Linked DNA regions of Anolis sagrei. The protein of the gene in region 4 interacts with the protein of the main gene of each other region in a pairwise test. Links are inferred from orthologs where the notes say so. Each region holds a gene or a part of one and is shown on either strand. Other genes may lie near its edges.

Region 1 (7,996 bases), on a different chromosome or scaffold from region 4:
AGCGATGAAGATGGAAAATAAGTTTGGGGCAATCACACATCCCTGTTTTGACACCTTCCACAGTGAAAGGGTCACTTTGGGAGCCACTGCTGTCCAAGACTGTTGTCATCATGTCACCGAGGAGGAACTGCAGAATGTTCACAAATTTGTCAGGGCATCTAATTTTTTGGAGGATGGTCCAGAAAGCACTGTGATTCACTGTGTCAAATGCCTCTGCAAGGTCAATGAATGCCATGTACAGAGGTTGATTTTATTCCCTGCATTTTTATTGTTGTGAATATATGATCAGATGTCCATGCACACAACAATTGCTGTTCCCAGCACCCCTGTAACTTCCACACACCCACAAAATTACTCCAAATGTCATCTAGTTCCACCCTGTGTGGATTTGAGAGGCAAATTAGGATGGGAAAGTTTCCTGGAGACTGCAAGTAAAGCACAGAGATGCTATTTTTCTATCAGCATCTATCAGCATCTCAAGTGGATTTTGTCCCAGAGCTACTATTTAAGATATTGTTGTAAGTATAATATTTGATTATATTAATGTTGTCTTTATCCAACATCACACTTGCTACTTTGATAAACAATCCCACACACAAACATACACATATACACAACATCCCTCCCTGCTTCCATGGAGGGTTTCCAATCCCATCCAAAGCTGGTTTGGGGAGGATAATATGGGGGGCTACAGGGTGGAGGAAGAAAAGTCCTGTTTCCAGTTCCGCCAATAGGAGTAAGTCCTTCTATCTATAGAATCACCCAATTGGATCAGTATCACGATTTAATTGCTGATGAAGGGGCCCTTTCACACTATACAATTACATTATGATTCCCATGTACCACTGTGACTCATACAGGGTTGTTTTTTCCCCAAAGGTTATAAGCTGTCTTCAATGATACAACAACAACAACAACAACAACAACAACAACAACAACACACTTTATTTATATTCTGCCCTTTTCCTTTAGGGAACTCAGTGCAGATTACAGCATTTACATACATAGGCAAACATTCAATGCCTTTTACAATCATATACAATGAGACACACAAACATAAACAAAGGCAAAGGCTTCTCCTTTCATTTCCGGCTTCTGGAGGCAGTGCACATCTCTGGCTCTCGGGAGGTGATTTTCTCCATTTTCAAGCCAAGGAGCCTACGTTGACACTTCCTGATTGTGTGGCTGGCAAGATTGCTTGGAGTGTCTCTTTGCCTTTTCCCGCCGAAGCGGTACCTATTTATCTACTCACATTTGCATGTTTTCAAGCGGCTAGATTGGCAGGAGCTGGAGCTGACAGACAGAAGCTCACCCTGTTTCCTGGATTTAAACTGCCAACCTCCAGGTCAATAGTTCAACCAACCTTCAGGTCAGCAGTTCAGCAGCAAAAAGTGTTTAACCACCACATTGCGCCACCACTGCTCCATACACCACGACTCCATACAAATGCATGAGATAGAAATATTTTAATTTGGGATTGTAAATCACCTATTTGGATTATACTTTTGTCTCCCCTTCATAATGTTTTCTCTATGAAAGCTCTCAGAATTCATGGCCTGAGAGCTTTATTGCTTTGCAAAACTAAAAGTCCCAAGATTTCGTGGACTGCAGTTATGGTAGTTAAAGTACTATCAACTATGTAATGAAAAGGGCACTAAGTGAGAGATGGAAATCATGAAACCTATCACACAACAATCATAAGCAACACTCCAGCTGGAGGTCAGCTGTGACCAGCAGTGCTGCAGAATTTGAAGAGGCACGAATGGAGGGCGAAAGGGAGAAGCGTGCCAAGAGGAAGGTGCATCAAGCCAACTCCAACCGAGACCGCCTTCCACCTGGAAACCAATGCCCTCACTGCGGAAGAAGATGCAGAGCAAGAATAGGGCTCCACAGCCACATACGGACCCACAAGAATACTGGAAGACAATCATCCTCGGAAAATGAGGGATCGCCTAAGTAAGTAAGCAACACAGCAAATGGCAATGCCTCCTAGGAGATGTAATCCCACAATCTCTAGTAGTGCAACCATGGCCACCCCAACTGAACAGGCGTTAAGCATCTTGAAGGAAGAAAACGCAACAAAGATGATACGGTACTTTTTTGCCAGATTAACTAAATTGGAAGTACAGTGGAATCCTTTGAGACAGAAGAAGACTACAGCTGAAAGGCAACAGTGTGGCTTGATTGTCCTTGTGAATGACCAAAGACAGCTGGATAAAAAAAAACCAAAGATTGCTATGGTTTCTTTTGTCCTTATGGCAGAAATGTTGGGTCTATAACAGCTGCAGGGATGGGGTGCTGAAAGGCCCCACAGGTGAAGCTTACAAGCATTCTCCAGTCCTGTCCTAAAGAGCAAAGCTGCAGCTGTTTCATTTCTTTCTGCCATGCAGCTGTTAGGCACCGGGCAAAGACTGCAACTGTCTTGATAGGAATTACCTTCTTGGGTAGCACATGAATATCCATTTGTCAGTTTCAGTGGCACAGCATATTAATTTTTGTGGGTTTTTTTATTTCTAATTATTGATTTTTGAAAATGTTAAGATTTTGGCAATTTAGAAGGACTTAGATTTACTCAAGGAATTACACAATTTAGAGGGAAAAAGTCAGAATCTTGTTTAGCAGCTATGAATGCATAATCTAGGGTACATCCACATTGTAGAATTAATGCAGTTTGGTCCCACTTTAACAGACATAGCTCAATGCTATGGAATTATGGGAGTTGTAGTTTTACAAGGCCTGTAGACTTCTCTGCCAAAGAGAACCAAACTGCAACTCCCATGATTCCACAGCAGTTAAGGTGGTGTCAAACTGAATATATTCTAGCATAAGTGCACCCCTAGAGTGACATTTTTAGGATTCCTACATAGCCACTAGCTTAGGGGATATTTCCTCCTGTTGCTCACAAAGCAGCTGGCTGATGGGCCCATCCCTCTCATGCAACTGATCTTTCACATGGGGAGGCATGGTGTACTTCCATTATATTTAGAGGGTGCATCTGCACTTTAGAAGTAATGCAGTTTGACACCACAGGGCTCAGTACTGTGGAATCCTCCCAGGATTCCATAACATTGAACCACAGCAGTTAAAATGGTTTCAAACTGCATCCATTCTATAGGGAAGATGAACACATATTGATATGGGAGGTGACACCCCCCCCCCCAGGACTCTGTAAAATATGGGTTAGGTTTTGGATTAGGGTTAGGGGTAGGGTTATTGTTAGGGTTAGGATTAGAGTTATGGGTTAGGGCTAGTGTTTGGATTAGGGTTAGGGAAAAGGTTAGGTTCAGGGTTAGGGTTAGGGTTAAGGTTAAGGTTAGGGTAGAGTAAGAGTTAGGGTTAGGGCTAGGGCTAGGGTGAGAGTTAGGTTTAGGGCATGGGCAGCTCATCCATTACGCGAAGTAAGCGGTCGCAGAACACTTTTTTTGCCAGGGGTGCAGAGGCGCCTCTGTAAATGCCCCTCGACTGCCACTTGAGGAGCGCCCCCTCAGCTCACAACAACCCTAGCAGTCCGGGGAGAGCCTCAGCTTTCTTGCCTCGCTGCCAGGCGATCCTCTTCCCAAAGTGGCCGGGCTCTTGAGCCTCTCCTAGCCCCTCTCGTTCCTGCTCCACCTGGCCACCGGGTGCGCGAGCAGAGCCGGCGCTCAATCGTTCTCCATGTTCGATCCCTTCCCCATGACTGGCACTCTTTCCCGATCCCCTGGTGCTCCACCCGCCTCCTCTCCTCTCCCCAATCCGCGGGTGGGCCAAGGGGTGGAGCCGCCGCACCTGGCCCTCTTCGGGTCTGGAGGCGTGTCTGAAGACCCCAGCGTGCGCACCAAAAGTCACCTCTTCTCCTGACTTTCTCTTCAGCCATTGGGACCAAGAGAGAGAGAGAGACAGAGAGCCCCTCCAGCTGGAGGTATCTCCCACCTCCGCTCCCTCCTTTGTTTTTGCGCCTACCTTCAGGAAAGGTGGGCATCTCCACCTCTCTCTCTCTCTCTCTCTCTCTTGGCCCCAACGGCTGAGGAGAAAGTCAGGAGAAGAGGTGACTTTTGGTGCACACGCTGGGGTCTTCAGGCACGCCTCTGGACCAAAAGCGGGCCAGGCAAGGGAGCAAGTGCAGCAAGTGTAGTTACTGGGATGTATAGTTCACCTACAATCAAGGAGCATTCTGAACTCCACCAGTGATGGAATTGAACCAAATATGGCACACAGAACTCCCACGACGAAAAGAAAATATCTATCAATGATTGGCTGGGGGGGGGGGGGCAAAATACTGTTTGCTTACCATTGAAAATTACCTAGGGCCACCTCTGGTTTAGGGTTATTGTTAGTGTTAGGGTTAAGGGTAGAGTAAGGGTAAGGTTTAGAGTTAGGGTTAAGTTCAGGGTTAGGGTTAGGGTTAAGGTTAGGGTAGGGGTTTTTTGGTCACGTGTTCCGTTCTGCGTTGCGCAAACAGCGCCCCGAAGGTGTGAAGCATAAGCAGCATAACGCTCAGAGATTCCTTACTCAGCTATCATACTAATACCGTAGGATTTTCTGCCTTGATATTCTGAGTTATATGGTTGTGTGGAAGGGGCCCTGGGTCCACACTCAGATAATGTGGGATTTCCTGGGTTATAGGGCTGTGTGGAAGGGCTCTGGGTTATCAGAGTCCATACAATCATATATCCCAGTTCAGGGTAGGGTGTTATTCAGCTGTGTGGAAGGGTCCTGGGTGAGAGATTCCTTGAAAGTGCTGAAGGAATGTGCCGAGGAAACAAAGTTGTAAAGAAACTTTTACCATGTTTTTTGTAATACAGCCAATTAGGAAATGACATATATTTCTAACCCAGGAACACAGAGAATATGTAATCAGAGTCCCGTTGCGGGAGAGAGCGGGCCTGCTTTGGCGTGGCCCCTCCCTCTGTCTGTCTGTCTGTCCTTTCCCTTCCTTTCCCGGGTTGACCGGGCTGCGTCGCTGGCCGCGAGGAAGAGGAAGCGGCGGGGATTGGCGGGGCCAGGCCGGGGGTGGGGCCCGGGGCTGGCTCTCCTCCCTCCTTGCTTCGCCCCGAAGGACTGACAACGTCGGCAGCTTCACCCCATCGCCGCTGCCTTTGCCCTCTGCATCTGGACTGGGGCCCGCGCCCACCTCTGCATGGCTCCCGAGGAGGAAGAACGAGGAGGAGGAGGAGGAGGAGCAGGAGGAAGCGAGGGCCAGTAGAAGTTTCGGTGGGTAGCCTTCCTACTTTCTTTCTCAAGAGAACCACACCATCCCACGTTCGCCTGTGCGCCGAGGAGGGAAGCCAAGGAGCCCAGGCGTTTGGGAAGAGTCTCGTGGTGCCTTTGGCTTCTCCGCCCTCCTGGCTGCCCGGGATCCGCTCCTGGCGACCCATAACCGGTCGGGGAGGGAGGGAGAAGGAGAGAGGGAGGAGCCCAGCTCGCCATCGCCCTCTTCGGCCCCTGGTTCGGGTCGGGATCCCTGGCTGCGTTCCTTTGGGCGCTCTCCGAGAGAGAGAAAGGGCTGGGGCATCTACACCAGGCATGGGCGCACTTGGGCCCTCCCTCCTGGTGTTTTGGGCTTCAACTCCCACCATTCCTAACAGCCTGCCGGTCCAAAACACCTAGAGGGAGGGCCCAAGTTGACCCATGCCTGATCTACACTGGAATCAACGCAGTTTTGGTCCTACTTTAACTGTCATGGGTCCATGCTATGGCACCCTGGGAGCTGTAGTTGTCCAAAGTCTTGAGCCATCTCTGCCCAAGAGGAAACCCACAATTCCACAGCAATTCAAGAGCAAGGCACTGACCACCTACTACAATGCAACATCATCATCATCATCATCATCATCATCATTATTATTATTATTAGAAACACAACAAGATGAGTTCACAGCAGACACTCTTCTGGCTGTTGTATTGGATCACACGTCAGACACTTCTCAAGTGTCTAGGACTGTGTGATGTATTGGCGAATAATGCATGCAGATCCCAGTAGGGTGGCCTTTTGCAGATGGTAATCTTGTCAGCACCAATTGTGTTTAAGTGCAGGCCTAGTCTTTAGGCACTGCACCCGGTGTGCCAATCACCACTGGGACCACCTTGACTGGCTTGTGCCAGAGTCTTTGCAATTTGATCTTTAAATTCTCATATCATATCATGTCATTGTCATTATTATTATTATTATTATTATTGCTGACACAGGTAGAATAATATCACAATCCATCACCATTTCCGAATACATATCAAATATTGTTTTCATAGTGTTATCCTTACCTATTCCACCTTTATCCCCCACTTGTGTCTATTGATTTTACACCCCTTTCCTCCACCCCCCACCCCCACCCTTTGGGAGCAGTACTTGTCTTCATTCAAATATTAATTTAATTGAAGAATCATGTAAAGAGAATGGTTCAGCTCTTTATATCTTTCTTTTCCTTCGACTTTTTCTATCAGTCTTCCCCATCAGTCTTCTTGATTCGGCATGCTGTATATTTGGCTCTTCTTTCAGAGATGTAGTCCTGAAGCATAAAGTCTGCTAGGTAACCATACCATTTTTTAACTTCCCACTTTCTATGGTCTTTCCACCCCAAGGCCACAGTTGCTTGGGCAGCAACTATCATGTATTTTATCATCCCCCCCCCCCCCCCAATCTTTGATGTTTTTGTTCTTGTCTAATTTCTGGGTGAAAAATGCAACCTGAGCCCTGCCACATGCACAATGAGGGGCCTTCTTATATCAACACCAGAGGCACTCCAAGTGGCCAGCTTCTGGTAAAAGGACGTTTACTACAATGCCAAGTTGGCAAACTTTGTGTGTGTGTGTTTTAAAAATACAATACAGCTGTTTGGTTCGCTCCTGGCATGATAAATAAATAAGTGGGGGTCAAGCTGTATGAATAATCACAAACTGCAGTTGCCTCCGGAGATTGGGACTAGAGAGCAGGCCAGTTTACCATCCAGCCTCACTGCTTTGCTTTGCCTTTGGGGAGTGACAAGAGAGAGGGAGTTTGTTTTGAAAAGTAAGTGAGATGAAGCCCTTCCAAGATGAATGGTTTCCCCCTGACATTAAGTCTAGTTGTGTTGGACTCTGGGGGTTGTGCTCATCTCCATTTCTAAACCAAAGAGCTGATGTTGTCTGTAGACACCTCCAAGGTCATGTGGCCAGCATGATTGCATGGAGCACCATTTCCTTCCCACAGAAGCGGTACCTATTGATCTCACATTTGCATGTTTTCGAATTGATAAGTTGGCAGAAGCTGGGGCTAACAGCAGGAGCTCACCCAGCTCCCTGGATTCAAACTGCCAGCCTTTCAGTCAGCAAGTTCAGCAGCTCAACAGTTTAACCTGCTGCGCCACCGGGAACTCCATTACACATTTGTAATTCCAACCTTTTTATTATTCTGACTACTATTGTTTAGGTTACACTATGCAACGCAATTTTTTGTTCCTGGATTATAAGTGTCATTTCCTAATTAATTCTATCATTAAAACATGGAAAAGGAGTACTGTTCCATTATCAGGGCAGGCCATCTGTCGGGGGTGCTTTGAATGCGATTTTCCTGGTTCTTGGCAGGGGGTTGGACTGGATGGCCCATGAGGTCTCTTCCAACTCTAGGATTCCATGACTCTATGACTCCAAAAGGATAGTCCGTTGTATGGGAGGGGGAAGTTGAAGGAAAAAAAAACATGACCCCCGTTTTTGCTGGTTATTCCCCCTCTCCACTTCCCATTTCATAAACGAGGGTTGTTTCCAGAGTGGGAACATGGGTAGGGGAAATAACAGGAAAACAAGGGGAAGTGGTTTAACTCCCTAATCCCCCCCCCCCCCTTTAAATGGACTATCTTTCTCTCTCTAGCACCACCTTTTGGCCTTCATTCGGATAATGGAATAGTACCGTAAAAAGTTTATTAAACTGTAAAAACTTTGTTTTTGTGGGACACCCTGCAGCACATTTTGCTAGTTCATGAATATCTCATTGAGTCTCAACCAATTCAACATAGTTTGTGTCTGCCACAAAAATTAATTTTCTGGAGTA
Region 2 (7,145 bases), on a different chromosome or scaffold from region 4:
CCCTTTGCTTTCCGATGGTTCAATGTATACAAACGTGAGTTGTTGTAGACTTTTCGGGCTATATGGCCATGTTCTAGAAGCATTCTCTCCTGATGTTTCGCCTGCATCTATGGCAAGAATCATCAGAGGTTGTGAGGCATCTTCAGAGGTTGTGAGACCTCACAACCTCTAAGGATGGTTGCCATAGATGCAGGCGAAATGTCAGGAGAGAATGCTTCTAGAACATGGCCATATAGCCCGAAAAACCTACAACAACCCAGTGATTCCAGCCATGAAAACCTTCGACAATACATTACACAAACGTGGCTTCATGAGTCTATCTATCTATCTATCTATCTATCTATCTATCTATCTATCCGTCTATCGATCTATCGATCTATCGATCTAAAACTATTAGGTCTATATAAAATGTAAATGGGTTTCATGTAGAACAGTACAGCATGCCAGCAATGAATTTTGGCATATGGTTGAAGGAACTGGCTTACCTCTCATCCCCATTCTCCCAAGGCAACTGGGAACTGTTGCTTCAGGTTAGTGTGTGTGTATGTGTGTGTGTTGGGTTCTGATTCTGTAATGGAACCCTTTGTAATTCCCACAATCCTCTGGGAGAAGCCATGACAGTTTTTTTTCTATGTCAGGAGCGACTTGATAAACTGCAAGTTACTTCTGGTGTGAGAGAACTGGCTGTCTGCAAGGACTTTGCCCAGGGGATGCCCGGATGTTTTGATGTTTCACCATCCTGGATTATATAAATCCTCACTGCCAAATAATCTGGGATTTTTTTCCATGTCAGGAGCAACTTGAGAAACTGCAAGTCGCTTCTGGTGTGAGAGAATTGGCCGTCTCCAAGGACGTTGCCCAGGGGACACCTGGATGTTTTGATGTCTTACCATCCTTGTGGGAGGCTTCTCTCATGTCCCTGCATAGGGAGCTGGAGCTGACAGAGGGAGCTCATCCATGCTCTCCCCAAATTCAAACCTGCGACCTGTTGGTCTTCAGTCTTGCTGGCACAAGGGTTTAACCCATTGTGCCACCGGGGGCTCCTGCCATGACAGTTACGGAGAATAGAGGCAGGTAATATTATTATTATTATTATTATTATTATTATTATTATTATTACTACTACTATTACAGATATGTAACAGATTAGAGAGATGATTGGGCAAAACTAGCAAAATGAAGTTCAGCAGGGACAAATGCAAGATACTCCACTTAGGCAGAAAAAATGAAATGCAAAGAGACAGAATGGGGGACAATGCCTGGCTCGACAGCAGGACGTGTGGAAAAGATCTTGGAGTCCTCATGGACAACAAGTTAAACATGAGTCAACAATGTCATGCGGCAGCTAAAAAAGCCAGTGGGATTTTGGCCTGCATCAGTAGGAGCCTAGTGCCAAATTCCAAGGAAGTTATGCTCCCCATGCTCTATTCTGCCTTGGTCAGACCACACCTGGAATCACACTGTCCAATTCTGGGCACCACCATTGAAGGGAAATGTTGACTCTAAGCTGGAATGTGTCCAGAGGAGGGTGACTAAATGATCAAGGGTCTGGAGAACAAGCCCTATGAGGAGCAGTTTAAAGAGCTGGGCATGTTTAGCCTGCAGAAGAGAAGGCTGAGAAAAGACATGATGAGGGCCAGGGATCAAGATGTGAGAGGAAGTCATAGAGAGGAGGGAGCAAGGTTCCTTTCTGCTGCCCTCAAGACTAGGAGGTGGAACAGTGGCTTCAAACTACAGGAAAGAGAGAGGATTCCACCTGAACATGAGGAAGAACTTCCTGACTGTGAGAGCTGTTCAGTAGTGGAACTTTCTGCCCTGGAGTGTGGTGGAGGCTTTTAAGCAGAGGCTGGGTGGCCATCTGTTGGGGTGCTTTGAATGCGATTTTCCTACTTCTTGGTGGAATGGGGTTGGACTAGATGGTCCACAAGGTCTCTTCCAACTCTATTATTATTATTATTATTATTATTATTATTATTATTATTATTGTTATTATTAGAAACCCAACAAGATGAATCCACAGCAAACAAGATCACTCTGCTGGCTGTTGCATTGAATCACACATCGGACACTTCCCAAGTGTCTAGGACTGTGTCATGTATCGGCAAATAATGTGTGCAGATCCCAGTAAGGTGGCCTTTTGAAGCTGGCAGATAGTAATTTTATTAGCACTGATTGTGTTTAAGTGCAGGCCAAGGTATTTAGGCACTGCACCCAGTGTGCCGATCACCACTGGGACCACCTTTACTGACTTGTGCCAGTAAATCCTCATATCATGTTGTTGTTGTTGTTGTTGTTGTTGTTGTTGTTGTTGTTGTTATTATTATTATTATTATTATTATTATTATTTTACTGACACCACAGTATGTCACAGCAAACGAGATCTATATGCTGGATTTCGTATCGCAAAATCATAAGTCGAACACTTCCCAAGCGTCTAGGACTGTGTGATATATTATTATTATTATTATTATTATTATTATTATTATTATTCAATATAATCCCATTGAGGATGGAGATAAAACTTCAGACTGGCCTAAAACCACCTTTGCCTCCATCCCAAAAATGCTTGTGGATGGATGGCCGCATTGGATGAGCATTTGGCACATGCTCAGAGGGATGACCACACTTATCTTTGTTACTTCCCTTGGGATTCTGGGAGTTGTTTCATATCATATCATCTTTAGCCTTCTCCACCAAAGAGGGTTGGTGCTTCTCTAAACGATATCTCCTAGTATCCCATTGCAGTTAAACTGGTATCAAACTGCACTAATTTGACAGTGTAGACAAGCTCTGGATGGACCCTTCAGCCTCAGTGTTGATGGTACCCACCTGTGTGCCGAACGACAGGCCCAGGGAGGAATCGTGGCATATGGATGGCGCTCCGGATCAACGGCAGGTGCTCCGTTCGGTCTCAGCAAGCGGCTTTTTCTATTAGGAAAATAGAAATGATTCACAAGAGCCCAAAAGGACTCACTTGTTTGCAGACTCAGAGGATTCTCCTCTCCCTCGCAGGGCAACGTCTGCGGCACAGAATGAACTCCCAAGGCATGTGTCAGCAGCATAGGCAGAAATTCACAGCTCAGGTTACAAGCCAGATAAATATAGTGTCTTATCTGACCTCACGGGGGAATGGATGGGGCTCTCTCACATTCCAGCATCGGGGTGGCTTAAAGGGGAAGCGGAGTCAGAGGCCTAACCAGGCATGTTTATGGTTTTGTGTGGAGTGGGTCAAGAGAAACTACCCACATTGGAGAGAATTTGGAAAAGTTTGCTCTTCTTTTCCTGCAATGGCTTGAAGAAATTATGCTGTTGCGTGCCTTCAAGTTGTTCGGACTTAAGGCAACCCTAAAGTGATCCCATCACAGGGTTTCCTTGGTGAGACACATCCAGAGAGTGTGACTCACCAAGTCTATGCAGATGATCATGCCATTACTACTCAAGCAGGGAGCTTTGAGATGATTGAACAGAAGCTCTCCGAAACTCTAGGTCAGTGGTTCTCAACCTTCCTAATGCCGTGACCCCTTAATACAGTCCCTCATGTTGTGGTGACCCCCAACCATAACATGGTTTTTGTTGCTACTTCATAATAGTCATTTTACTATTGTTATAAACCATAATGTAAATATCAGATATGCAAGATGTATTTTCATTCACTGGACCAAACTGGGCACAAATACCCAATGCACCCACATGTAAATGCTAGTGGGGTTGGGGAAGGATTGATTTTGTCATTTGGGAGTTGTAGTTGCTGGGATTTATAGTTCACCTATAATCAAAGAGCATTCTGAACTGCACCAGCGATGAATTTGAACCTAATTTGCCATACAGAACTCTCATGACTAACGGAAAACACTGGAAGGGTTTGGTAGGTATTGACCTTGAGTTTGGGAGTTGTAGTTCACCTATATCCAGAGAGCACTGTGGACTCACGCAATGGTGGATCTGGACTAAACTTGACACAAATACTCAATATGTGCAAATGTGAACACTGGTGGAGTTGGGGGAAAATAGACCTTGACTTCTGGGAGTTGTAGTTGCTGGGATTTATAGTTCATTACAATCAAAGAACATTCTGAACTCCACCAATGATAGAATTTGCTCAAACTTCCCACATGGAATCCCCATGACCATCAGAAAATACTGTGCTTTCCGATGGTCTTTGGTGACCCCTCTGACACCCCTTCGTGACCCCTTCAGGGGTCCCGACCCCCAGGTTGAGAAACACTGCTCTAGGTGCTCTTACTGCCTACTACAGGGAAAACCAACTGATCCCTAATCCATCTAAAACACAGACATGTGCTTTTCACCTTAAGAACAGACAAGCATCCCGAACTCTGAGGATTATTACCTGGGAAGGAATCCCACTGGAGCATTGCAGCACACCCAGATACCTGGGAGTCATTCTGGACCATGCTCTGACCTACAAGAAGCACTACCTGAACATCAAGCAAAAAGTGGGTGCTAGAAACAATATCATACGCAAGCTGACTGGCACAACCTGGGGATCACAACCAGACACAGTGAAGACATCTGCCTTTGCGCTATGCTACTCTGCTGCTGAGTATGCATGTCCAGTGTGGAACACATCTCACCACACTAAAACAGTGGATGTGGCTCTTAATGAGACATGACGCATTATCATAGGGTGTCTGCGCCCTACACCACTGGAGAAATTACACTGCTTAGCCGGTATTGCACCACCTGACATCCGCCGGGAAGTAGCAGCCAATAGTGAAAGGACCAAGGCAGAGACATCTCCAACTCATCCCCTGTTTGGGTATCAGCCAGCACGTCAATGACTTAAATCTAGAAATAGTTTTCTAAGATCTACAGAGACACTCACTGGAACACTTCAGCAAGCGAGAGTCCAAAATTGGCAGGCTCAAACCCAGAACCTCAATCAATGGCTGATACCAAATGAGAGACTGCCCCCTGGGCACACAGAGGACTGGGCGACTTGGAAGGCACTGAACGGACTGCGCTCTGGCACCACGAGATGCAGAGCCAACCTTAGGAAATGGGGCTACAAAGTGGAATCCACAACCTGCGAGTGTGGAGAGGAGCAAACCACTGACCATCTGCTGCAATGAAACCTGAGCCCTGCCACATGCACAATGGAGGACCTTCTTGCGGCAACACCAGAGGCACTCCAAGTGGCCAGATGCTGGTCAAAGGACATTTAATCAACTATCAAGTTTGCAAATGTTGTTCTTTGTCTGTTTGCTTGTTTTGTTCTGTTAGAAATGTAATACAATTTACTGGTTGCCCTAACACGACAAATAAATAAACCAAGTAGGTTTCTACAGCAGAGCATGAATTTGAAGCCTGGTCTCCAGAATCACAATCAACTACAAAAAATTCCTCTGTTGACTTATGGCTGATTTATGAATTTCATGGGATTTTCTTAGGAAAAGAATACTTGGACTATTTATTTATCGTGCCAGGAGTGAACCAAACAGTTGTATTGCATTAAAAACAAACAAACAAACAAACACAAAGTTTGCAAGCTTGGTAGTTGATTAAATGTTCTTTGACTTGGATTATACACCCCAGAAGCCAGCATAGCCATCGTGAGTCCAATAAAAGGAACTTCCATTACTCCAAAAATGTAACTTTTTCAAACATGGGGGTATTTAAGATGGGCACTGTCAGAGACTCTTATCCATCTGTGCACACATTAGTACAAACCACATGGCAATGGTATTTGACACAGTTTCTAACAGAGGCGTGTCTTCATGGTAGAATTAATGCATTTTAATACAACTGTAACTGCCATAGCTCAATGTTATGGAAACCTGAGATTGGTGTTTGGTGAGGGACTGATATGCTTGGGCAGAGAAGGATAAAGACCACGCCAAACTCCAATTCCCAGCATCCCAAAGCATTGAGCCATGACAATTCAAGTGGTGTCAAACTGCATCAATTCAACAATGTAGATCAGGTATAGGTAAAGCCAGGCCCAAGGGACAGATGCGGCCCCTTGGGCTCTTTTCTCAGGCCCTCCTCTCTCTCATCATCCCATCCTTCCTTCTCTCTTCCCTTCCTCCTTTCCTCCCTCTTTCTCCTTCCCTTTCACCATTTCGCCCTCTTTCCTCCCTCCCTTCTCTCTTTCTCCCTCCTTCTATTTCCTTCCACCCTTTCATGCTTCCATCCTTTTCTCTTTCCTTCCCTTCCTTCCATCCTTCCCTTTCACATTTTTGTCCTTCCTTCCTTTCCTCTTCCCTCCCTCTCTCCTTCTTTCTCCTTCTTTCCTTCCCCTTTGTCTTCCCTTCTTACTCTCTTTCCTTTATCCTTCCCTCCCTCCCTTCTGTCCGTCCATCCATCCTTCCATCCATCCATCCATCCATCCATCCTTCCTTCTTCTTTTTCCTTCTTCCTTTTATCTTTCCTTCCTTCTTTCCTCCCTCTTTCCCGCTCTCCTTTTCTCCTTCCACCCCTTCCTTCCTTCTTTCCTCCCTCTCCCCTTCTTTCTCCTTCCTTCCCTTTTGTCTTTCCTTTCTTGCCTCTTTCCTCCCCTTCCTAATTCTCCCTCCTTCTACTTCCACCCTTTCATCCTTTCATCCTTCTCTCTTTCCCTTCCTTCCTTCCTTCCTTCCTTCCTTCCTTCCTTCCTTCCTTCTATCCATCCACCTTTCCCTTTCACATTTTCGTCCTTCCTTTCTTCCCTCTCTCCTTCCTCTTGCCCTTTTTCTCCTTCTTTCCTTCTTCTTTGTCTTTCCTTCTTTCTCTCTTTACTTTACCCTTTCCTTCCTTCCTTCCTTTTTCTTTTTCCTTCCTCCTTCCCTTTTATCTTTCCTTCCTTCTTTCCTCCCTCTTTCCCTCTCTCCTTTTCTCCTTCCACCCTTTCTTTCTTTCTTTCTTTCTTTCTTTCTTTCTTTCTTTCTTTCTTTCTTCCCTTTCTCCTTCTCTTTCTTCCTTCCATCACCAGGCAGCCAGTCATCCTAGCAAAGAGTACTAACATGTGGCCCCCAAGTTAGAAAGCTTGTCCATGTCTGCTGTAGATGCACCCTGACTTTTGAAATTAAGATGATTAATAAGGACCAGAAACTTTAGGGAGGGAACTGAAAGCAGATTTCTAAAGAACGCTGAATACGAACTTTTCAGCTGGCTTTCATCTTGGACACCTGATAAAATCTTGTTTGTTT
Region 3 (7,657 bases), on a different chromosome or scaffold from region 4:
GAGCAGACATTGGCTTCCACTTGCCGGATTTCAGCCGCCTGCAAGTCCAGCATTTTGAGGATGTCGCTGGCCAGGTTGCTGATTTGGTAGGCCACGCTGGCTAATGATTGAGTGGCAAAACCCATCGTTTCCTCAAGGGCTTTCCGTTTGTCTTGTGCCTAAATTATTTCAGAGGAAGAGGGAAAGGAAGAGGAAGAAGAAAAAGGGAAACTTAGAGAGATACTAAGGGCCCTTCCAGACAGGCCCTATATCCCAGGATCTGATCCCAGGTTTTCTGTTTATCCCAGATTACCTGGCAGTGCGGACTCTTATAATCCAGTTTAAAGCATAAAACCTGGGATCACATCCTGGGATATAGGGCCTATCTGGAAGGGCCCTGAAATGTCTGGTAGTGGCTTCTCAGATGTGACTTTTGCTATAGGAACAGAACTTTAAGTATGGTTTTGTCTGTGTGGAGCCTCCAGTGATGCAGTGGGTTAAACCACTGAGCTGCTGAACTTGCTGACCAAAAGGTCAGTGGTTTGAATCTGGGGTGAGCTCCTGTTGTTAGCCCCAGCTTCTGCCAACCTAGCAGTTCGAAAACATGCAAATGTGAGTAGATCAATAGGTACTGCTTCTGCAGGAAGATAACAGCGCTCCATGCAGTCATGCTAGCCACATGACCTTGGAGGCATCTACGGACAACACCAGCTCTTCGGCTTAGAAATGGAAATGAGCACCTCCCCCCAGAGTCGGACACAACTAGACTTTATGTCAGAGGAAACCTTTGCTTTTACCTACCTTTGCCCGTGTGATGCTACAAACCTGGGGAAGTTTATAGGTTATCCCCAAAACACTGGGATTTACTTTTTGTTGAAATCTTCACAAAACCCAATGAAAATTAAAATGAAAGTTGCCTATAATTTGCTTATCTCTAGAAAGTATCCTCCAATGACCTTCCAAGAAACTGAAACTTACTCCTTAGTCTAAAACAACGTTCCCTACTCTTGTACTGTATTAGGCGGAACTGAGCAACTGCATAGATGGCATGGAATAATTTACACCCTTCATAGAGACTTCCCAATGGGTCATTGAAGTGCATTGAAATGAGGTCATGGCATATCTGGCAATCATTTTTCATCTGCATCTTGATACAAAATATTATTTTGTTTCAAAAACATTGCATAAAATAGTTTATTTAAAACTGATAAAATAAAGGGCTCACAAGTTGCTAGATAGTTTTAGACCAAAAACGGGCAACAGCGGCTGCATTGTCTGTAGCTTTAAACAATTCTTCCTCATTGCATGAGGCAGGGCATTGTGGACAAGCATACAGATGCTGAGTTGTTTGTTCTGCTCCACAGTCACACAAGGGGGAGGATTCTTTTAGGTAGTGCCATTTTGCCAAGTTGTCTTTCGATCTGCCAACTCCGCTTCGGAGTCTGTTCAGGGACTTCCAAATTGCCCATTCTTGGGGAAGACCCTTGTGGGGGGCCATCCAGTTAGTACTACCAGTTTTTGCTACCTACAGGGATATTCTTGCTGTTGCTTTTGATCCAAAGATGGCATGGGAGTGGGGAAATCAAATTGCTGAATAACAACTTTTTTTTTTGCCTGTTGGGGACATTTAGAGTTTGAAAAAAAATCAATCCAAAATCACCCCAAAGTTTCAGCTGGAGCACAGATTCGGGGTTTTTAGGACATGTAAAGAGGCTTTGGTACTGTAAAACTGATCCCCCTCCCATCCCTTGGTTAGATGATTTTCTGGCTTTCCAGGCAGGAGTGTTGGTTGGCTAGAATCTCTGCATAAATGAAATATTCATCCCTCCGCTTCCTACATCATCCCAGAGGTTGCTAGTCCCTAGCTCCTGCAGCAGCCAGCTTCCTATATAAATAAAAGGTGTTTCAACAGCTTTGGAGATAATTCCTGTGCCATCCATCCCATTCACATCAGGAGCTGGCAATACCCTCAGCAACCTAGGAAACTATCTTTCCACACTTCTGTTCAAGCATGACTTAGAGTGCTGCTTTTTATAGCTAACTCTAGGGTAAGGATGGGCAAACTTCAGTTTGCGAGGTATTTTGGACTTCAACTCCCACAATTCCTAACAGTAGGTTGTTAGGAATTGTGGGAAGTAAAGTCCAAAATACCTGGAGGGCCAAAGTTTGCCCATGCCTTCCCTAGACATTCTTCTGTCTGAGGCAATGGACAAAGTGAAGATGATACCATCTCCCTATTCTACATACAGAAGGTAATTGAAGGCAAACTCTTCCTTCAGTAACAACAAGGGGATAACACTTTCTACCACAACTGGGAGCAACAGGCTAGTTTATGACACTCCAAATTACTTCTTGACTACAAACCCTGGAATCTCAATTTTTCTGGAAATTCTAGGAATTACAGTCCAAAAGGTAACTCAAGTCTCCAATAGCTGTAAAATAGTGCAGTCCTCCATCAAAAGGGATAAATCAGACTAAGAAGGGATTATGGGCAGCAGCTCCAAGACCTGCCACCTGAACTAGTTGTTTCTACCCAATGGTAGAGCCAGCCCCACTTCTATGGCAAGTGCCATCTCAGAATCCTACCCAGCTGTGACTCACCTGCCCATAGTTGCTCTCACAGTAATCAGCCACTTTGAGCAGGTTGCTGTAGTTTTCCTTCAGGACCCCCCTTGCACAAGGGATGGATGCCTGTATCAGCTGCTGCAATTCGGAGGACATGCTGTCATCAGTCTGGTCTCCACACTTCCTCCTGACAGCGTGCGGTGTGGCAACTTCACCCAAGATCCGATCTCAGTTTCACACAACTCATGGTGACACTGTCTGGCTGGGACCTCTTTTATACTTGAGTCGACGCCTCCTGTGGCAGAGCCCATCCCACCCCTCGGTCTTCTTGCTGACACCCTGAGATTTATTGCTGTCCTCCAAGTACACATGGAAACTGTGTGGACATCCTCTTTCATTCCTGGAGTGACAAGTACCTCCACGCTTAGCATACAAGATAAGAAAACTTTCTTCGGCTTGAGTGAGCAACAATAAATGACGAGAAATAACTGAGGAAATGTTGAGGGAGATGGTGCAGGGAGGGGAGAGGGACTGTCAAGAGAGGAAACTATTATTTATAGAACTTTGTTTGCTTAACTGATTGCAGCAATGCTGACTTTTATTGCTAAGTGAGCCAGGTGAACATGTGTAACTTAACTCAGGCCCCTTCTTCATAGCAATGTAACATCCAGATTATCTGCTTTGAACTGGATTATATAGCAGTGTAGACTAAGGGCTCTTCCATACAGCCATATAACCCAGATATCAAGGCAGATAATCCACAATATCTGCTTTGAACTGGGTTATCTGAGTCCCCACTTCCATTACTTACTTACTTACATACTTACTTACTTACTTACTTACGCAATCCCACCTTGCCCGAGTAGGATAGTCTTCCAGGATCAGTATTCTGGTGGGTCCGTAGGTGACTGTGGAGTCCTATTTTTGATCTGCATCTTCTCCTACAGTGAGGGCATTGGTTTCCAGGTGAAAAGCGGTCTCGGTCAGGGGTGGCTTGACGCGCCTTCCTCTTAGCACGTTTTTCTCTTTCACCCTCCATTCGTGCCTCTTCAAATTCTGCAGCACTGCTGGTCACAGCTGACCTCCAGCTGGAGCGCTCAAGGGCCAGGGCTTCCCAGTTCTCAGTGTCTATGGTTTTTAAGGTTAGCTTTGAGCCCATCTTTAAATCACTTTTCCTGTCCGCCAACATTCCGTTTTCCCCACTGCCATATAACCCAGTCCAAAGAAGATAACGTGGATTTTTGTATAGCTGTGTGGAAGGGGCCAAAGATAATCCAGTTTAAATCAGATAATGTGTATTTTCTCCTTTGATAACCTGAATTATCTGGCAGTGTAGAAGGGTCCTCAGCGTTTGGGACAGCATATTTTAGTTTATAGTTCATAGCATCCTTGCTTGGGGATTCTGGGAATTTATCTTTCCTTTGATACTAGTTCAGAGCACACATTGCTAGTCAACATAGAAAACCAAGGATGAGCTCAATACTACTACATTGTATCTGATCCATCAAACCATTATGCCCAAGCTGCCCAACCCATGGACCCATATGTCTCCTGTCCCATTAGGAGAGAAAAAAACAAAAGAACCTTGAAGCTACTCAGGGAAAGTAAGAGACGAACAACGCAAATTGTAGTTTCTGTCTCTGTTTTGTGCCACTATCTAAGTCTGCTTCCATCTTCCTTGGCACATACAGAGAAAGCAGAAGTCAGGCCAGCTATACTTCTATCTTGAAGCACCAACTCAATTTTGCACTGACCTTTACATTTAGCCCTTTCCAAGGTATTGGTTGGAAGAATCCCTATCATTAGTTCCAGGCAGAAATTCAGCCCTACCAAGGTTCCTCACTTCTGCACCAACAGTGGTTCCCATGATATTGGAATTATGAAACTACTACAGGTTTTTAGTTTCCTTAAAATTTAAGGGAACTGACCAAGGGCCTAAACCCTGAAAATTAAGGAAACTGACCTGGGGACTAAAACTCAGGTCTTGCCAATTACTTCCTCTGAAATATTGCTACAGTTCCTGGTATTAATTGGCAGCCTCCCATCCATTTTTGCTAAAACCTGTTTAGTTTCCAAGTTCAGAGAGAATTTGGTGCCTTTATTTAACCCTCTTTTGAGGAAGGTAAATGCAAAATCACCCGAACCAACCAAGCAATGTTGAATTAATTTCCTCATGTTCTGTAAAATCCATATAATTGAAGTAGCAATAGTTGTCAGCATAACCCAGAAGTTGGCAAAACCAGCTCTCCTGCCCAGGATCTAACAAAGTTTCTAAACTAAGGCCCTTGTGAAATAAATTACTTTATGATGCACATATTTGACAGTGCATTTCCTATTTGCCATTAAAATAATAATAATAATAATAATAATAATAATAAACAATGCAAAGACTCTGGCACAAGCCAGTCAAGGTGGTCCCAGTGGTGATCGGCACACCGGGTGCAGTGCCTAAAGACCTTGGCCTGCTCTTAAACACAATCGGCACTGACAAAATTACCACCTGCCAGCTACAGAAGTCCACCTTACTGGGATCTGCACGCATCATTCACCAATACATCACACAGTCCTAGACACTTGGGAAGTGTCCGATGTGTGATCCAATACAACAGCCAGCAGAGTGTCTGCTGTGGACTCATCTTGTTGTGTTTCAAATAATAATAATAATAATAATAATAATAATAATAATAATAATTGCACCCTGCCACCATCTCCCCAAAGGAACCCGGGACGGCTCACAGAAGCACTCCAAGTGCCACATGCAGACAACCATACATAAGTACAGGGCCGTAGCCAGAAAAAAATTTCGGGGAGGGTTGACAATTTCGGGGGGGGGGGGTTTGAAAATTTCGGGGGGGGGGGGGGAATTTCGGGGAGGGTTGAAAATTTGGGGGGGGGGTTGAAACCTGCCTCCTAGCTCACGCTAAAGCAAAGCGCACAGCAGGGGGCAGAGCAACCTTCAATAGCCTGCAGCTCCACCCCTGTCAACCACCTCCACCAAGTCTGGCCTCCTTAATGAGAGCATTCAACACACACACACACCACTTGGTTGCTTCACTACATCGCTATTGCTGCAAGTAATGACAGTGTGAATAAATTGTCAATATTTGCTTGAGATAGTGCTTACAGCTCTGGAGGGACTCTTAATTTTTTGCATCTCATAGACTTAGCATGGGGATTTGGTTAACCAGTTAAAATTCATGAGTAAACCAGTTTTTTTAAAAAAATCTGAAACATTTCGGGGGGGGGTTTGAACCCCTAAAACCACCCCCTCACTACAGGCCTGCATAAGTATAAACACAATGACATAAATATAATCAACAATGCATAAGAAGAATGCCTGTCAAGGATTTCTTTGAATTACAGCTGAGGCGCTAAAGCTGTTAATTTGCTGAAAAGGCAGAGACAGCTTCCAAAGGTACAAGATGATAAAAAGAGCCAATGGGAGCACAGCACATACTTCTGCAGTCCAATATCCTTGTGACCCATTAGATGCCCATGGGGTGGCCACAGGTTGTTCACAAGCACTGATATTAGGAACCGAGTGTGCATGGGGAATGCACACTGCCCTCTTAACATCCATCCAGTTCTGCTCATGTTAAGCCACTAAGTACCTTTAGGAGACTAATTCCTACTGAAAGACTACACAGAAATGCAACTTGAATTTAACCTTGATGTACCTGATCATAACTTTTTGTAAATATATCCAGAAAGGAAGGTGTGGGTTGGGGGAAGGATCAAGGTTAATGTTCACATGAGTCATTCCCTTGTCCTTCAAATATAGAACCTTACCCCTGGGCCTAGTTGCATAGAGATTGTTATTGTTGTGTGCCTTCAAATCATTTTTGAATTATGGTGACCCTAAAGCAAACCTATCAAGAAAGTAAACCTCACAACCTCTGAGGATGCTTGCCACAGATGCAGGCGAAATGTCAGGAGAGAATGCTTCTAGAACATAGCCATATAGCCCGAAAAACCTACAACAACCCAGTGATTCCAGCCATGAAAACCTTTGACAATACAGTTTTGGAGGACTAAGAGAGTGTGACTCACCCAAGATCATCCACTGGGACCCCTTCCACACAGCTGAATAAAATCCCACATTATCTGCTTTGAAGTGGGATATATGTCAGTATAGACTCAGATAACCCAGTTCAAAGCCGATATTGTGGGATTTTCTGCCTTGATATTCTGGAATATAGGACTGTGTGGAAGGGCCCTGGTTTCCAGAGTCAGAGGGCCCTTCCACACAGCCATATAACCCAGAATATCAAGGCAGGAAACCCCACAATATCGGCTTTGAACTGGGTAATCTGAGTCCAAACTTGGATAATGTGGGATTTCTTGTGTTGATATTCTGGTACATAGGGCTGTGTGGAAGGGCTCCCAGTTCAAAGCAGAAAATGTGGAATTTTATCCCCCTGTGTAGAAAGGGTCAGAGCCCAAAGTTGAAGACACTACACCAAGTATCCTCAAACTATGGTCCTCCAGTTGTTTAGACCTCCAACTCTCAAACATCATGACAATTGAACCAGCTGGCTAAAGCTTCTGGAAGTTGGCCCAAACAGCTGGAGAGCCACAGTTTGAAGATGCCTGCACTACACCATGTAGAGCAAGCATCTTCAAACTGTGACCCTCCAGCTGTTTGGGCCTCCAACTCCCAGAAGCCCTAACAAGCTTGTTCAATTGTCAGGAATTCTGGGAGTTGCAGGCTTGAACAGTTTGAGGATGCCTGATCTAGAGATTGACAGTAAATATTTTTTGCTGAAGGAAATACAATCTTTCTCGGCTCAGGTCACTGTTCCTTATTTTTGTTTCATATATCCCTGGAGTTGTCAATTGAACAAAGGGGCTTATTGGGGTGAGTATAAAATAACCTTTCAGTGAACCCATAGATGACTAGTAGGTCAGCCCAAGAATCAATGAGTTGAGTGCAGAAGACAAGCAGACCTAAACAAATCTGGAGCATTTCATTCAATAACTAGGAAACTGTTTTGGGGACTCAGGGCTGAGGTCTAGATTTTGAGCCTGGAACATCTCATTTAGTCACATCTGCATTGTGTATATGTCTCCCACTCTAATGGATCGATTGATCTATTTTTTTTCCAAATGTGCC
Region 4 (7,651 bases):
AATCCTCAAGTCTAAAGGTGTATTGTTGAATAACAAAGATGGGATCAATAATAATAACAATAATAATAAGAATCCTCAAGTCTAAAGGTGTATCGCTGAATACTGAAGTTGGGATTGTGTATTGCTGTCCTATTTCTTTACAGTCCCTGCTGCTGTTGTTGTGTTCCGACTTAACTGTAAGTACTTTGTGGGGCAAGTCACCCAGTGCGTTTCTATGACCGAGAACGGGATTCAAACCCAGGTCTCTGGAGTTGTATTCCAAAGCTCAAACCACACCAGATCTTAGTTTATCTCTGAACACAGGGCAGTTTGGAAACCTCCCTTCCCATTTCTTCAAAAAACACATCTGGTTTGTCTTTTCAGAGGCCTCTTTTCTAGCTGAGAGGCAGCCTGGGAAAAAAGCCGCTGGCTCGCTGCCCTGCTGACTCAGCCCTCTGTCAAATGGCTTTTAAAGCAGAAGTTCTTATTCTTTCCCTGCCTAGAATTGGAAGGGACCTCCAAAGGCCATCTGGTCCATCCCCATCCTGCCGGACAGGAAGACACCATCCAATCTCTTCCAACAGATGGCCATCCAACCTCATAGACATTTGAAGTTTCGTGGAGAAATGGGACTATATAATCATAGAATCCTAGAGAATGGATGGAGGTTGGTCATCTAGTCCAACCTCCATCCATTCTCTGTTAAAAATACATATCATCGAATTTTAGAATCACAAGAGACCACAAAGGCCATCCAGTCCAACCTTCACCTGCCTGACACAACTAAATCACTCCTGAAAGAGGCTCATCCAACCTCTCTTTCAAGTCCACCAAAGAAGTAGAGTCCACTTCTCTCCAAGGAAAGCAATCCCACTACTTAACAGTCAACAAAGGAGGCAGAGTTTTGTTGTGGGTTCCTACATGGAAAAGAGGCTGGACTAGATGGCCTTTGGGGTTCCTTAGAGACTCACTTAATAAACACAGAGGAGCGGGTGCATTGTGGGTTCCTGTATGGGAAGGAGGCTGGACTAGATGGTCTTTGGGTGTCCCTTAGAGACCTAATTAATAAATATAGAGGAGTGGGTTCTCTGTGGGTTCTTGCATGGGAAGAAGGCTGGACTAGATGGGCTTTGGGGGTCCTTTAGATACCTAATTAATAAATATAGAGTGGGTTCATTGTGGATTCCTGCATGGGAAGGAGGCTGGACTAGATGGCCTTTGGGGGTCCCTCAGATACCTAATTAATAAATATAGAGTGGGTTCATTGTGGGTTCCTCCATGGGAAGGAGGCTGCACTAGATGCTCTTTGGGGGGTCTCTTAGGGATCTAGATAATAAATATAAGAATGTGGGTTCCTGAATGGGAAGGAGGCTGGACTAGATGGCCCTTGGGAGTCCGTTAGAGACCTAATTCATAAATATAGAGGAGTGGGTTCATTGTGGGTTCCTGCATGGGAAGAAGGCTGGACTAGATGACCTTTGGGGTCTCTTAGAGATCTAGATAATAAATATAGGAATGTGGGTTCCTGCATGGGAAGGAGGCTAGACTAGATGGGCTTTGGGGGTCCCTCAGATACCTAATTAATAAATATAGAGTGGGTTCATTGTGGGTTCCTGCATGGGAAGGAGGCTGCACTAGATGCTCTTTGGGGGTCCCTTAAATACCTAATTATTAAATATAGAGTGGGTTCATTGTGGGTTCTTGCATGGGAAGGAGGCTGGACTAGATGCTCTTTGGGGGTCTCTTAGAGATCTAGATAATAAATATAAGAATGTGGGTTCCTGAATGGGAAGGAGGATGGACTAGATGACCCTTGGGAGTCCGTTAGAGACCTAATTCATAAATATAGAGGAGTAGGTTTATTGTGTGTTCCTGCATGGGAAGAAGCCTGGACTAGATGGCCTTTGGGGTCTCTTAGAGATCTAGACAATAAATATAAGAATACTTTTACTGTGGGTTCCTGCATGGGAAGGAGGCTGGACTAGATGGTCTTTGGGAGTCCCTTGGAGACCTAATTCATAAATATAGAGGAGTGGGTTCATTGTGGGTTCCTGCATGGGAAGGAGGGTGGACTAGATGGCCTTTGGGAGTCCCTTAGAAACCTAATTAATAAATACAGAGGAGTGGGTTCATTGTGGGTTCCTGCATGGAAAGGAGGCTGGACGAGATGCTCTTTGGGGGTCCCTTAGAGACCTAGTGAATACATCGCTGTGGGTTCCTTCATGAGAAGGTCACCCCAACAAAGGAACAAATCCCATCTTTCCTTCCCTTATGGGAAGTCTATACCAGCCACACCCCATTGTTGCTCTTCTTTCTCAAAGGAAACACTAGAAGATCTCAGAAGAGACCCATTCCCTCTTTGGGACTGCAAAACTTCAGGCTCCAGCCATTCATTACTTTACTTTTGGACCTCAAAATGAGCCATCAAGATAATCCTACAGCCTTGATCAGGACCACAAAACATCAATCAATATCTGAGAAAGAAAGATGATCCTCTCACCCCATCTTTTCCAGGCTGTGATCTTCCCTCCACGTTGCCAGCTTTTCTTTCTTTTCTTTCTTTCCTTCTTCCTTTTTTTTTCTTTCTGTCCAGATCCGGATCCTGCTCAAATTTCCTCCGGAATTTGACTTTGGAAAGCCATTTGTTCTCCAAGGGGGATGGGGCCACTTTCAAGCCCAGAAAGGAAGACAAAACGATTGTTAATAGGCATGCATACACATACACACACAGCTGTATCTGAAAATCTAGCTTGCACACCAGATCTGGCTCTCAATGCCTCCTGCCGCTTGCTCTGCTCCAGCCAAACCACAATCCCTCTCAAAAGATATGGAATTATAACAAAGCTTACCCACTTTGTGAAGGAGATCCTCAAGGTCTTACGTTTCCCTTATGTATAGTATACAGAGACAGGATCCCTTTTGGAAAGAAACCCTCTGGCTTCCTCTGCCAACTCTGCTTCATCTCGACCACATTTCTTTTCTCCCGAGTTTCCACCCCTCTCTCCTCCCTTCTTCCCTTTCTCTTTGGTTGGCTCAGTGGTGCCACCCAATGGTCAGCAATGGGACCTACACCTTTTATGGAGAGACACACACATGTATATATATATACCCCAGAGTCATTCAATCTGGAGGCCCCAGCTGTTCTCTGCAAGGCTTACAGATTGAAATCTTATAAGGGGTCCCCCAAAGGCCATCTAGTCCAGCCTCTTTCCCATACAGGAACCCTCAACTAAGCTCCTCCTATATATTTATTAACTAGCACACACACACACACACACACACACATATCCATATTCATTCATGAAATTATATATCTATCCTGAGCTCTGCGAGTGCAGCTTTTTCCCCGAATGAAGCAGATAGGGATACCAAGGTGCTTGTTTATAAAGCTACTAGCCGTCCCCTGCCACGCGTTGCTGTGGCCCACATGGGGGTTCTGTGTGAGAGTTTTGGCCCAATTCTATCACTGGTGGGGTTCAGAATGCTCTGTGATTGTCGGTGAACTACAAATCCCAGCAATTGCAACTCCCAAATGTCAAGATTCCATGTTCCCCAAACTCCACCAGTGTTCACATTTGGGCATACTGAGTCTTCATGTAGAGTTTGATCCAAAACCATCATTGTTTGAGTCCACAGCAATTTTATACCTCCATGCTCCTTGCAGAAGTAGATGTTCTGCTTCATTGACTATTCTAAAGCCTTTGACTGTGTGGATCATAATAAATTGTGGCAAGTTCTTAGTGGGATAGGCATCCCAAGCCACCTTGTCTCTCTCCTGAGGAATCTGTACAAGGACCAAGTCGCAACAGTAAGAACTGACCACGGAACAACAGACTGGTTCAAGATTGGGAAGGGCGTACGGCAAGGCTGCATACTCTCACCCAACCTTTTTAACTTGTATGCAGAACACATCATGCGATGTGCGGGGCTTGATGAATGCAAAGCTGGGGTGAAAATTGCTGGAAGAAACATTAACAACCTCAGATATGCAGATGACACCACTCTGATGGCCGAAAGCGAGGAGGAGCTGAGGAGCCTTCTCATCAAGGTGAAAGAAGAAAGCGCAAAAGCCGGGTTGCAGCTAAACATCAAAAAAACCAAGATTATGGCAACAAGAATGATTGACAACTGGAAAATAGAGGGAGAAAATGTGGAGGCCGTGACAGACTTTGTATTTCTAGGCGCAAAGATTACTGCAGATGCAGACTGTAGCCAGGAAATCAGAAGACGCTTACTTCTTGGGAGGAGAGCAATGTCCAGTCTCGATAAAATAGTAAAGAGCAGAGACATCACACTGGCAACAAAGATCCGCCTAGTCAAAGCCATGGTATTCCCTGTAGTCACCTACGGATGTGAGAGCTGGACCTTAGGGAAGGCTGAGCGAAGGAAGATCGATGCTTTTGAACTGTGGTGTTGGAGGAAAGTGCTGAGAGTGCCTTGGACTGCGAGAAGATCCAACCAGTCCATCCTCCAGGAAATAAAGCCCGGCTGCTCATTGGAGGGAAGGATACTAGAGACAAAGTTGAAGTACTTTGGCCACATCATGAGGAGACAGCAAAGCTTAGAAAAGACAATTATGTCGGGGAAAATGGAAGGCAAAAGGAAGAGGGGTCGACCAAGGGCAAGATGGATGGATGGCATCCTTGAAGTGACTGGACTGACCTTGAAGGAGCTGGGGGTGGTGACGGCTGACAGGGAGCTCTGGCGTGGGCTGGTCCATGGGGTCACGAAGAGTCGGAGATGACTGAACGAATGAAAAACAAATGCTACTTGCAGATATTAATTCAGCTACAACCTACAATGTTGCAAAGTTCTGTGCAACAGCATACCAAATCCGCCAGGGAATGACTAGCCCCAAAAGTTAACTGTGTGTCCAGTAATCTTCTTCTCTGAATCTACAATTTGGTGATGGATATGGGCATTGTATGTTTTTACCCTGTTTCCCCTTCCCTTCTGCTCCCTCACCCATATTGTGCTTCAGTAGTTATATTTATATTTTTAATGTACCAAACATACCAAGTTTGTATGAAAATGTGACTATTTCCTGTGCTGGTCAATGACCGAAATAAATGATTTGATTTGATTTGAGTCCACAACGCTCTCTGGATGTAGGTGAACTACAACTCCAAAACCAAAGGACACTGCCCAACAAACACTTCCAGTATTTTCTGTTGGTCATGGGAGAACTGTGGGCCAAGTTTGGTTCAATGCCAGCATTCTGAATGCTCTCTGATTGTAAGTAAACTATAAATCCCAGCAACTACAACTCCCAAATGACAAAATCAATATTTTTGAGTGAAGGACATACATTGGGTTGTTAGGTGTCTTGTGTCCAAATTTGGTGTCAATTCCTCCAGTGTTTTTTGAGTTCTGTTAATCCCACAAACGAACATCACATTTTTATTTATATAGATTGTCCTCCCAACCCTGCTATGCACCTGCGAGACGTGGACTGTCTACAGACGTCACATGCAACTCCTGGAACGATTCCATCAGCACTGCCTCCAGAAAATCCTGCAAATCTCTTGGGAAGACAAGCGGACAAGTGTCAACGTGCTGGAAGAAGCAAAGACCACCAGCATTGAAGCGGTGGTCCTATGCCATCAACTCCGCTGGACCAGCCACATTGTCCAGATGCCTGACCACCATCTCCCAAAGCAGTTGCTCTACTCCGAACTCAAGAACTGAAAACAGAATGTTGGTGGACAGGAAAAAAGATTGAAAGACGGGCTCAAAGCCATCCTTAAAAACTCTGGCATAGACACCGAGAACTGGGAAGCCCTGGCCCTTGAGCGCTCCAGCTGGAGGTTAGCTGTGACCAGCAGTGCTGTAGAATTTGAAGAGGCACGAATGGAGGGCAAAAGAGAGAAATGTGCCAAGAGGAAGGCACGTCAAGCCAATCCCAACTGAGACCGCCTTCCACCTGGAATCCAATGCCCTCACTGCGGAAGAAGATGCAGGTCAAGAATAGGGCTCCACAGTCACCCACGAATCCACCAGTACACTGACCTTAGAAGACTCCTACTCGGACAACGAGGGATCACCTAAGTATCAATACAGATAATAAAAGTGAAAATATGTATGTGTGTATATGGCTGGGCTGTCCACTTTCACCAGCGTTTCTCAATGTGGGGGTCAGGACCCCGGGGGGGGGGGTCACAAGGGGTTGTCAGAGGGGTTGCCAAGAACATCAGAAAACACAGTATTGTCTCTTGGTCATAGGGGAAGTTTGGCCCAATTCTATCCTTGGAGGGGTTCAAAATGCTCTGATTGCAGGTGAACTATAAATCCCAGCAACTACAACTCTCAAATGTCAAGGTCTATTTTCCCCAAACTCTACCTGTGTTCACATTTGGCCATATTGAGTATTTTGAGTATTTGTGCCAAGTTTGGTCCAGATCTATCATTATTTGAGTCCACAGTGTTGTCTGGGTGTAGGTGAACTACAACTCTAAAACTCAAGGTCAATGCCCGCCAAACCCTTCCAGTATTTTCTGTTGGCCATGGGAGTTCTGTGTGCCAAATTTGGTTCAATTTCATCATTGGTGGAGTTCAGAATAGTCTCTGATTGTAGGTGTACTTCAAATCCCAGCAACTACAACTCCCAAATGACAAATACAATAACCTCCCTCCCTCCCCCTCCACCTCACCAGTATTCAAATTTGGGTGTATCAGGGTATTTTTTGCTACATTTGGTTCAGTGAATGAAAATGCATCCTGCATATCAGATACTTACATTACGATTCATAACAGTAGCAAAATTACAGTTATGAAGTAGCAACGAAAATATTTTTATGGTTCGGGGTCACCACAACGTGAGGAACTGTATTAACGGATCGCAGCATTTGGAAGGTTGAGAAACACTGACAAGCTCCTTCCTCCACAAAAAAACTATAGCTCCCACTGCTCAGGAGACACCAAATACCCTCATGTTCATTGCAGGTTATAGTGAACACCATTGAACATGTCAAATGTCCCCCACAAACAATACTGCCCACCACCTAAGTGAAGGCTTTCATAGGGGACAATGTCATCCAAATGTTATGTGTTTCCTCCACCACAGGCATCCCAGTGTTTCTTTCTCTCTCCATTGGTGTGGAATTTGCATGACCCTGCCCCCTGCATCTCCCATACTCCTTTACTGCTCTTTCCTATGGCACACAGCAAACATAGAGGAATTGATCAGCAATTGCTCATACTGGAGGGGTTTGGGAGCCTGACCCAACATTATGGAAGTTGAAGTTCACCCTGCATCAAGACAGAGTGCGGTGACCTCCAATGACAATAGACCTGGACCACATTTGCCACACAGAACCCCCATGACATAAGAAAAATACTGGAGAGGTTTGGAAATAATTTATCTTGATTTATAAGAGTTGTAGGTACTGGGATTTATAGTTCATCTGTAATCAAAGAGCACTTAGAACTCCACAAACAATGAATATGCAACTAACTTGGCACACAGAAACAAAAAAAAATACTGTTTGTCTTTAGGTGGATTTATAAGAGTTGTAGTTCACTCCCATCCAGACAGCACTGTGAACCCAAAAGCCTATTTATCTGGACCAAACTTGGCATGCATACCTGATATGCGCAAATTTGGTTACTGGAGGGATTTGGGAGAGATTGACCTTCAGTTTTGGGGGTTGTAGTTCACCTATAACCAGAGAAA

What was found.
Region 1: the proteins of HOMER3 (region 4) and WIPF1 interact in binary tests that used the Homo sapiens proteins (3 or more experiments, as listed by UniProt). The two-hybrid records come from large-scale screens. The link is inferred for Anolis sagrei from reciprocal best matches to the Homo sapiens genes HOMER3 and WIPF1.
Region 2: the proteins of HOMER3 (region 4) and USP2 interact in binary tests that used the Homo sapiens proteins (3 or more experiments, as listed by UniProt). The two-hybrid records come from large-scale screens. The link is inferred for Anolis sagrei from reciprocal best matches to the Homo sapiens genes HOMER3 and USP2.
Region 3: the proteins of HOMER3 (region 4) and ABI3 interact in binary tests that used the Homo sapiens proteins (3 or more experiments, as listed by UniProt). The two-hybrid records come from large-scale screens. The link is inferred for Anolis sagrei from reciprocal best matches to the Homo sapiens genes HOMER3 and ABI3.

Annotation. Positions count from the first base shown.
Region 1 is NC_090021.1:192,111,616-192,119,611, forward strand, and holds the start of WIPF1 (WAS/WASL-interacting protein family member 1), read left to right. Parts: upstream 1-4,988; 5' UTR 4,989-5,190; intron 5,191-7,996. UniProt on the Homo sapiens protein: Plays a role in the reorganization of the actin cytoskeleton. Contributes with NCK1 and GRB2 in the recruitment and activation of WASL.
Region 2 is NC_090027.1:39,100,809-39,107,953, reverse strand, and holds the start of USP2 (ubiquitin carboxyl-terminal hydrolase 2), read right to left. Parts: upstream 3,020-7,145; 5' UTR 2,830-3,019; intron 1-2,829. UniProt on the Homo sapiens protein: Hydrolase that deubiquitinates polyubiquitinated target proteins such as MDM2, MDM4 and CCND1. Isoform 1 and isoform 4 possess both ubiquitin-specific peptidase and isopeptidase activities.
Region 3 is NC_090026.1:32,484,457-32,492,113, forward strand, and holds the start of ABI3 (ABI gene family member 3), read right to left. Parts: upstream 3,012-7,657; 5' UTR 2,701-3,011; coding exon 2,581-2,700; intron 159-2,580; coding exon 1-158. UniProt on the Homo sapiens protein: May inhibit tumor metastasis. In vitro, reduces cell motility.
Region 4 is NC_090034.1:52,222,106-52,229,756, forward strand, and holds the start of HOMER3 (homer protein homolog 3), read right to left. Parts: upstream 3,014-7,651; 5' UTR 2,829-3,013; intron 2,647-2,828; 5' UTR 2,485-2,646; coding exon of another isoform or gene 2,480-2,484; intron 1-2,479. UniProt on the Homo sapiens protein: Postsynaptic density scaffolding protein. Binds and cross-links cytoplasmic regions of GRM1, GRM5, ITPR1, DNM3, RYR1, RYR2, SHANK1 and SHANK3.